Linked DNA regions of Rattus norvegicus. The main gene of each other region encodes a partner of the protein of the gene in region 2 in a complex. Links are inferred from orthologs where the notes say so. Each region holds a gene or a part of one and is shown on either strand. Other genes may lie near its edges.

What was found.
Region 1: the proteins of Bbs4 (region 2) and Bbip1 are in contact, whole or in part, in a cryo-EM structure (PDB 6VBV), measured with the Bos taurus proteins. The link is inferred for Rattus norvegicus from reciprocal best matches to the Homo sapiens genes BBS4 and BBIP1. Residues at the interface, in NP_001069424.1 of Bos taurus: Leu210, Leu213, Tyr236, Leu240, Ala241, Ser244, Gln247, Thr248, Ser269, Pro271, Asn274, Asn275, Met278, Phe281, Gly282, Lys284, Tyr298, Leu299, Pro301, Leu302, Asp303, Trp304, Lys305, Ile306, Tyr308, Asn309, Leu312, Leu315, Thr316, Gln318; in XP_003587939.1 of Bos taurus: Met7, Phe8, Arg9, Glu10, Val11, Leu12, Pro13, Lys14, Gln15, Gly16, Gln17, Leu18, Tyr19, Val20, Glu21, Asp22, Leu28, Lys30, Pro31.

The regions. Positions count from the first base shown.
Region 1 is NC_086019.1:262,961,468-262,966,244, forward strand, and holds the start of Bbip1 (BBSome-interacting protein 1), read right to left. Parts: upstream 2,944-4,777; 5' UTR 2,872-2,943; intron 2,334-2,871; exon of another isoform or gene 2,312-2,333; 5' UTR 2,218-2,311; intron 1-2,217.
Region 2 is NC_086026.1:68,633,595-68,637,631, forward strand, and holds part of Bbs4 (Bardet-Biedl syndrome 4 protein), read right to left. Parts: intron 3,722-4,037; coding exon 3,594-3,721; intron 3,424-3,593; exon of another isoform or gene 3,191-3,423; coding exon of another isoform or gene 3,186-3,190; exon of another isoform or gene 1,344-3,185; coding exon 1,289-1,343; intron 1-1,288.

The DNA.
Region 1 (4,777 bases), on a different chromosome or scaffold from region 2:
CCAGAATCACTGTATTACAATCTTTTTATATGTTTGACATTGAACTTGGAGATCTCTCTCCACACACACACACACACACACACACTCATTAAATTTCTAAATATTTTAATGCCCAATGTGCCCAAATTATACATTGCTATAGAAGTTTAGAACAACAATGATACTCTGACCACATTCTGTATGCCATGAGGCAAGCTGAAGTACTTTGCGTTCTGTTAAATTTAGTTTTAAACAGCCATAGACACTTAGCTAGTGAATGGGCATCTTCCTAACTCCAGGTCTGATTCTAAAACCTAGTCTTAACTACTATGTTATTTAGCCTTCCTGAATTCAGTATTAAGTTGAAATTGTTTCACAATCATATAGGAGCACACTTCCTCCTACACAAAGAATGCAGCTATTGGAACATGTTATTTTAACTTTCAGTATGACTGCTAACAGCATTCTATGCTAACCTAAGAAATCTCCTTTTAACTTTCAAGAAGAAAAGTGAGTGTGGAGCAGGAGGACCACGGGAGCTCTGCATTCTTGGGAGGGTTCCTCTTGTCATTATAAACCAAATCCCACAGTTCTCTCCACTGGGCAGAGCATGCTCCTAATGAGATGTTAAGTTTAAGCTTGGTTTTTAATAGGCAGTCCTTACTACCAGAAAGCTATTACAGAAACAACAGGACCAATGAGATCTTGCAGAAGAATTTCAAGGAGAAAATACCATTGCCTAGACTGGATTGTGGCCAGAGGGACAATAGTTACCTGGGTATCTGCTGAGATAACATCAAGATTCACATATTTGAATTACAGAGCTATACATCTTTCAACAGCAGTCTGCAGGGTGCCAGGACTTGAAACTCAAGAAACTATGCTGACATCAGCATACTTTACTGTAGATTTCATTGCATCAGCATAGGCAAAGTAGCCACATTTATCAAAGGGAGACAGTCTATATTGACAGCCTAGGGCACTTTAAATACTCTATACACACAGGCAAATTAAATGCCAAACTCTCAGCTTGACAATGGGATGGACTTTACTAGTAACACGAGGCAAAGGTATATGTAGTTGCATTTGAGAACCTAACTGGAAAAAGTTACACAGTTATGCACAAAAAAAAAAAAAAAGAATTAAAATTAATCAGGCCTCAAGTCTAACTTCTAATTGGTATGAAATAAAAAAAAGGGATCCCTTTTCAACAATACCTCTGGATTTCTTTGACTTTGTTAAAATGTCAGTGTCACAGAGAGGAAGATCGGGACAGCTATAAAATTCTGAAGTGGCAATGCCCATGTACAATACAAAACTTCTGAAGTATTTTGATTTGTATAGTCTCTGTATTTTATGTTACAAAATTGCTACTTTTCTTGGTTGTAATAATACTGTATTTTACTAATTTAAGATTTTCAAAATCTTAAATTAACGTTAGGGGGTCTAACTGCAGATCAATATATTATTTCTAAATAGTACTAAAGTAGGAATGTGAAGAGGAAAGAGGTGTATATATATCAGAATCTGAATAAGTATCCAACATAGGTAAATAGGTCTAAGGCTGTAAGTGCTCCCCGCCCTCCTGTTTTGAGATAGGATTTCACTCTGCATCCCTGTAGCTTTGAACATGAGATTCTCTTGTTTCAGCCCCTAAGTGCATCACACCATCACACCTGGCTTTTTTAGCTTTGTAATGTGTGCACGTTTTCTCTCTCTCTCTCTCTCTCTCTCTCTCTCTCTCTCTCTCTCTCTCTCACACACACACACACACACACACACACACACACACACACACACACACAGTCGGGAGGGTAATTATGTTGTAAAGACTTCAGAGGTCGACCCTAAGAAGCACTGAGTGCCAGGGACCATGCTCAATTCTGCTACTGAAGGACACTGCTAATAATTTAACCCTTTAGGAGAGCACTATTATGTGCGGAGCAGGTGAATCCCACACGGATCACGTTGTTCAGGCATAACACAGTCAACACAGCAAAAGGTCCTCAAGCAGCTGACCCATGAGATAGTGAGAAGGGTAAGGTTTCCTGTTGGAGAGATTGCGGTACACATCTCCAAGGATAACAGAATAACTGACACAAGTCACAAAAGGTGACAGCCGACTTCAACGATTAACCTCAGCAGAAACAAGACTACTTCATTGTTTGCTGGAACACTGGTGGAGAAGGCAGATTCGCACTTTTTCGATTGGTTAGGCAGAAGCATATTTTAATTTACCTGAAAATTGTTATCTTTTTCTTGCAGCTTTAGGAATCTGATCTGTAGTTATCAGAACGGTTGACTTCTTGACTCAAAATGCCCACAGAAGGAACTACAAGAGACAATATCTTGGAGACACATAAAGCATTTTAAGTATTTTTAAATGTTCTTTAAAAGGATGGTCACAATCGTAGACACCCAGGACTAACTACTACAATACACCCTAACCCAGAACTCTAGTGAAAGCTTACAAAGTGCCCAGAATGGGAAGAAAAATCAGAAGATGAGGGCTGGCTCAGGGAAGTCATCTTTTTCTTTGATAGTTGGGGTGGAAACTGGTTCCTTTTGGTTCCCGAAATCTAGAGTTTCTAAAGGACAGGAGGTGAAAGGACCATACTCTAGAGGAACTCGCGGAGGTGTGTCGCGTGTCCCACAGTGCAGACCTAGGGTCTGCGGGTCCTCTGGTCTGGCCGGGGTGTGGGTCAGGCAGCCTCGCCCTACAGGGAACCTCAGAGGGGCGGAGGGAAGGCTGGCCACCGCCCCACCAGCCGGAAAGGAAACCTTCTGCCAGCGGAAGCGGCCCTGGGCCTTAGCTAGTAGTCTTCTCCGAGCTCCCTCCCTGCTGTTCATCCGGCCTGGCCGGCCCCGTGGTAAGGCGTCGGGAGCACTTACCTCACTCTTCAACTCTGGAAGAGGAGGTATCCCCTGGGGCGCAGGCTGGGGCGACTACTCCCACCTCCTGGCCATGACCCTACTAGGAAGTGCCAAGCGTAACTTCCGGCGCGAGGGAGTTTTGAAGCTCTAAACTGTAGTTCTAGGTAAGTGATCAGGCGGCTCAGTGAAGAGCCTGAAAAACCAAACCTGCAGTTCCTGGGCGCGAATTAACTCGTCCAGTGTGGACTATCTGTGCACATCTTGCGTAAGTATACTTACAGGTGCAGCCCTTTCCAGATGGCTCTGCTGTTGCCTGGGGCAACGGAGGGGACCGAATGCAGGAAAAGTATACGTCAAACGGGTGACAGGAAACGCCTCCTGCCATTATCAATTATGGCTGCCTGGGCTTCAACCGTAACTTCCGACTGGGAGTTGTTTCTCTACCCGGCTGGAGGCTTTCTCTGTGGCGGAGCTAGCCAGCGGCGCCCAGTGGGCGGGAGACCGCGCGCGGCCGCGGAGGAAAGGAAAAGGGCGGGGACAGGGAAGCTGGCACCAATGTCTCGCTCTGATTGGGCGACTCCATTTGCCATGGCTCCGCCCATTCCCTCCTCCCTAGCGAATGCCCAGGCTTGTTCAAGAGGGTCGGGGCGGGGCGATTGGAGCCAGAGTGTGTGGAGGGGCGGGGCGAGTGGGGGAGGGGCGGGGGGGCGGTGGCAGGGGAGCGTCGCTCGGGGAGCGGAGGACGAGGAGGAGGAAGGAGGTGAGCGGGGATGGTGGAGTCGGGGCTCCGGACGGCAGCCTGGGGCGGGAGCAGCACAGGGGCGCCCGTGGGCCAGTCCTCTGCCTTCCTGCCTGTCCGGGGACCTGGCCAGCCGTCGGTAAGGGGAGGCCCACAGGTCCTGACAGGCGCGAGCCGCGGGGGCCGGGGCGAGGCCTGAGGGGTCGGGGCCCTGGGAGGCGCCGCGGCTGCTTTCCGGGGTGCCACGGCCCGGGGCTCCGGGGCCTCGGAGCCGCTGCCCGCGCGGGGCCAGCGGGCGGGGCACCGGGAGCAACCGGCTGCCCCTGACAGCACCGGGCCGGGCCTACTGCGGAGCGGTCGGCTGGGACAGCGCCGGGGCGCGGGCGCGGGCCCGGGGCTGCCGGTCGGTCAGTCGCGCTCCGGTTGCTCCCGGCTCTCGGCGCCTCCGGGCCGGGACTGCGGGGCTGCCCGGGTCGTGCGGACGTTTGGCGCCGGGCGGGCGGGCGGACCGGCGGGCGGGCGGGCGGGCGCGGCCGTGGTTATGTGGGGCTATGAGGCTGTGGAGCTGTGGGGCTGTGGGGTGGGGTCGCTGCACCTCCTCCCCAAAGTCCTTGGCTCTGGGCGGTCTCCTCCCCACAGACCGACCCTGCGGGGAGATCGGCGGATCGGCGTTGGGTGTGTTGCGGAGTGAAAGGAGTTGTGGCCGCCGAGACCGCCCTGCTAAACACGCCTGATGGCAATCTCCGCGTCGGCTTTGAGGGCTAGAGGAAAAGTAGTGTAACTCCCCGCCCCCAGCTCGGAACGCAGGAGGCTGCAGGGCAAAACGATTTTCCCCCTAGCCCCTCGGTATCCATTGTTTTGTACCATCCCCTCCCCCATGCCTAGGTAGAAGAATAAGGACTCCAAAGCTGTAATTCGCCCGCCTCTCCCCACTCTTCCCCCCAACCCCCCAGTCCCTCTCAGCAGAGGTTTGGGTTAACTGTGCAAGTAGGGGTTTACAAACAGGTGGAACGCTTGTCTATTTGGGAATCGGAAAGATGATGTTTTTGGGGTGCGTTTTTCATCTGATTTCACCTTTACACTTGGGAGATTCGATTTTCTCCCCATCGGTTTGTAGCTTTATGAGGTGATGAAAATAAAAGAGGAAACCCTGTTTTGCGACCTATCCCCTCAAGTGTTTCTGAG
Region 2 (4,037 bases):
TACACTGAATGGTAACCTGCAGTCATTTGTAAAGTTCTTTTGGACACCCACACCCCAACCCTTGAAAATAGTAATGATAATAAAAATAAAGTAGGTAAACCAAATAAAACACAAATGTCCATGTTTGTGATTTCCTTATTCTTGTTCATTTTTCTCCTGATAAAGTTGAAGTATCTTTGGCCAGAAAACCATTTCACAAACACTCATGCTGATTGATATTAATGCTTCCTGACAGGGACTGTCCCGTTGCTCTTCCTCACAAGCCAAAGACCAGAGGACCCAGTGTTAGACTCTAGGTTCTTAAAGCAATAGTTATAAAAGCTATTTCTGAGGCATATCAGCTGAACAGGGAGACTGTACAGTGAGCAGGGTAAGACAGCTCAGAGATCTGGAGCCTCAGGTACTCAGGCCAACACAAGTGGCATCCAGGGCTAGGGAGATGGCTCAGTGGTTAAGAACACTGACTGAGGGGTTGAGGATTTAGCTCAGTGGTAGAGCGCTTGCCTAGGAATCGTAAGGCCCTGGGTTCGGTCCCCAGCTCTGAAAAAAAGAACCCCCCCCCCCAAAAAAAAGAACACTGACTGCTTTTCCAGAGGTCCTGAGTTCAAATCTCAGCAACCACATGGTGGCTCACAACCATCTGTAATGAGATCTGATGCCCTCTTCTGGTGTGTCTGAAGACAGCTACAGTGTCTACTTACATATAATAAATAAATAGGGGTTGGGGATTTAGCTCAGTGGTAGAGCGCTTGCCTAGGAAGCGCAAGGCCCTGGGTTCTGTCCCCAGCTCCGGAAAAAAAAAAAAAAAAAAAAAAGAACCAAAATAAATAAATAAATAAATAAATAATCCTTTAAAAATTAAAGAGAGAGAGAGTCCCATCCACACTTGGCAATGTTAAAGAAAGGTAGTATTTCCTCTCTAAAAACCTACCCCTTGCTGCTCTCGCCTACAGGACCTTGGATAGCAAGTGAACTGCACAAAGTGGTAAAATGTATCAGTTCTTCCCCTTTCCCCCAACAATAAGGTTAACAGCCCCAAGCCAGACAGCAGTTTCTCATATATATTCTTTCCCTATTGTATAAGAATTGCTATTACACTAAGGCTGAAAGAGAATCATGACCTGGGTGCAAATGTTAATCCCGTTAGCAATGAGTATTTAAAACAAGCCATGGTTTCTGTGTGTACTGTGACCGTTAACACAATGTTCCAAGTAGAAAAGTGAAGGCGAGCACTGTAGACAAACTTAGGCACGTCTAAGAGCAGCATGTGAATGTGCAGTCTCATTACCTGTAGGTAGAGTAATCCTAAAGTTGTGAGAAGTTCTGTATTTTCTGGAGAGAACCTGTAACACAGAGATGCTCACAAGGAAACCATTGTTATGAGACAGACCTGTAGAGCCAACACTCTTCAAAAGCAAATCAGCTCAGTCCTGGAGACAGAGAAGATCTGCTCAGCAGAAGGAAATGGGCTTGGAACCTAGACTCCTTTTTCAGAGCCCTTCTTTTGGACCAACAGCAACCTTAAAAAAACAACTGTGGAATAATTCATCACACTGAAAATAATTAAATTTTAAGCCAAGTCAGGATACAGTTACGCTAGTCTCTCTGTGGAGAACTCTGTCACTTTCCCTGTGCAGACAATGTTACTTCCTATGTCACTTAGGACTCCAAGGTCCCTGACATGTGCTTTCCAAATTAAACAAAGCACCATACTTACTAAGTTGCCAACTAAACACAGAAGGCATATATCCACCCTTGGAAAGACTTAGATACTGGATCCTGGAGTAAACACTGGCCTATTATCTGCCTTTTCAGTTTTTCTCTGATGCTTGTCGTTGTCAAAAAGCCAAAACAACAGAGTTGAGACCATCTGAACACAGGATCATTAGTTTCACCTGAAAAGCATCAAAGAGCAAGGAAATGCTCCTGCTTGTTACCCTGAGGAGGTCCAGGACTTGCACAGTCAAAGCCTATCCTGTGCCTGAGCTGGCACACACTCTCTCAGTACAGCCGAGTGTCTGTCTTACTTTCCTACAGGAAGTATCCACTTTGAGCACACCCCTTCCTACACCACATAATGAACTCGTGCTCCCCACCCTTCCCATCCCATCGGGGTCTGTCCCCTGACAGCACTCCTTTCCAAAGCCGCAGGCCATGAAGCTATCATCTCAAATACTCAGCGCTCTTATTTTCTCCTTTTGGAAGATGAGTGATTCAAGTCTGAGTAGTCACTGTCTGCACAACCTCACCAGAGTTCATGTGTACTAATTCAAATGCCACCCTGTACAGGACAAGTGTCAGGAACAGGCTTACTCTCACAGGAGCTCTTGACTTGTTTCATGGTTCCTACCGACCCACAGAAGCCTAACCTTTTGATAATGGAAATCACTGAGCTTACCAACAAACCTAAGAGATTTTTCTGACACAAAATGTGGTTATAGAAAATGCAGAAAGTAGTGCTGTGACTGACACAGCCAGGAAGCTCACCCTGTGCTGGACAAAGCTAAGAAGTAGCCAGTACTCTTTACCAGTTCAGAGTCTTAGTCTGTGAGTCATACATGTTCTATGACCGAACATGACACCTGAGCATTTTACTACAGCTGTGCTATTTAAAGGAGGCAGGTGGACCTCTCCAAGTTCCTGGCCAACCTGATCTACGTGGTGAGTTGTAGGCAGCCAAGGCTACATGCTAAGACCCTGCCTCAAAAGAAATAAGTGAAACAAGATGACACTACACAGAAAAAAAAAACCAAAATTCTAGGTGTCCCTAGAAAAGAAACTTGGGATGGGAAATTCAGTCATCCATTGTCAACAGGTTAGACTACCCTAATGGGATTTTTTAAACAAAGATCAGCAGTAAAACATGTTATGTGGCTGGAGTTGTAGCACCTGTGCTCAGGTAAGCACAGGTAAGATTCTATTTTCAGCATAAGAAACCAAAATAACTAACGCAAGATATATCGGTCTCAGGTTAATGAGCGCAAATGTCTGTTACTGAGCTGGGGTTTCTGTTCCTAATATGATCACCAGGAACAGAGGATCTGCTACAAAATATCACCCAGCCCAAGTTCTTGCTGAGTGCATGGTCCACCTACTCCTGTTGTGGCTGTTTTCTCCTACCTAATTCCAACTGCAGATTATGTGTGCAAGTATGTGTGCAGTTATTTCAAACCAGAGGTACTTACTCCATACTGAGTTACAAGTATCATCTTCCTTCAGTATGGCCTGGAACATGTTACTCAGGTTGAAGGTGAAAAAACCACACAAGGAACTAATCCCCAGCAGCTGGCCTGGGAGGCAGCTAGCCTAGAACAGCACTGTCGCAGAAGAAAGCAAGCATCTGTTCTCAAAGGTCCCATTGCTTCCAGCAGGTGTGTCAACCTGTGGCCTCTGGGCTGCATACATCCCAGCATGGCTGTCAATCTGTCCCAACGCAAAATGGCAAACATACCGAAAACATCATGGGGTGTGTGTACAAGTTTTTGTTATTCAGTGTTCTCTTCTTGAGCATGGACTCTGTGGGTGATAACTTCATGTTGCAATGTTAAAAGGGTGGACACTCTAGTCCAAGTCCAAGTGAAAAGGACACTTACTCCACTGCTTTCTTGTAGATCTCAATGGCTTTATCCAAGTCTCCCTGCAGTAAATGGATCTTCCCCAGCATAATGTAAGTCAGGTCATGCTTGTTAAGCTGGAGGGCACTGTGCAATTGGTCTTGCGCCTAATTAAAGTTTAATAGAGTAAAGAAAACCAAATCAGCACCGTTGTAGGACAGTGGTGCATGTGAAGAACACAGAACTTTGATGTACTTATGTGAGAACATCATGTCTGAAAAAATAGCTCTCACAGCCTAAGCATAGCCTCGCTGGCCTTGCTGAATTCATATAGAATGATCAACTTCCTGAATGTTCTCTGACATTTACACCTATGCTAGGTAAACATTATTATTACCTCAAAGGGACATCATAGTATAGTATAGAATACCACACCAAACTTGATCCCACCTATACTCCTGACTACCTGGACAACCTTAGCCT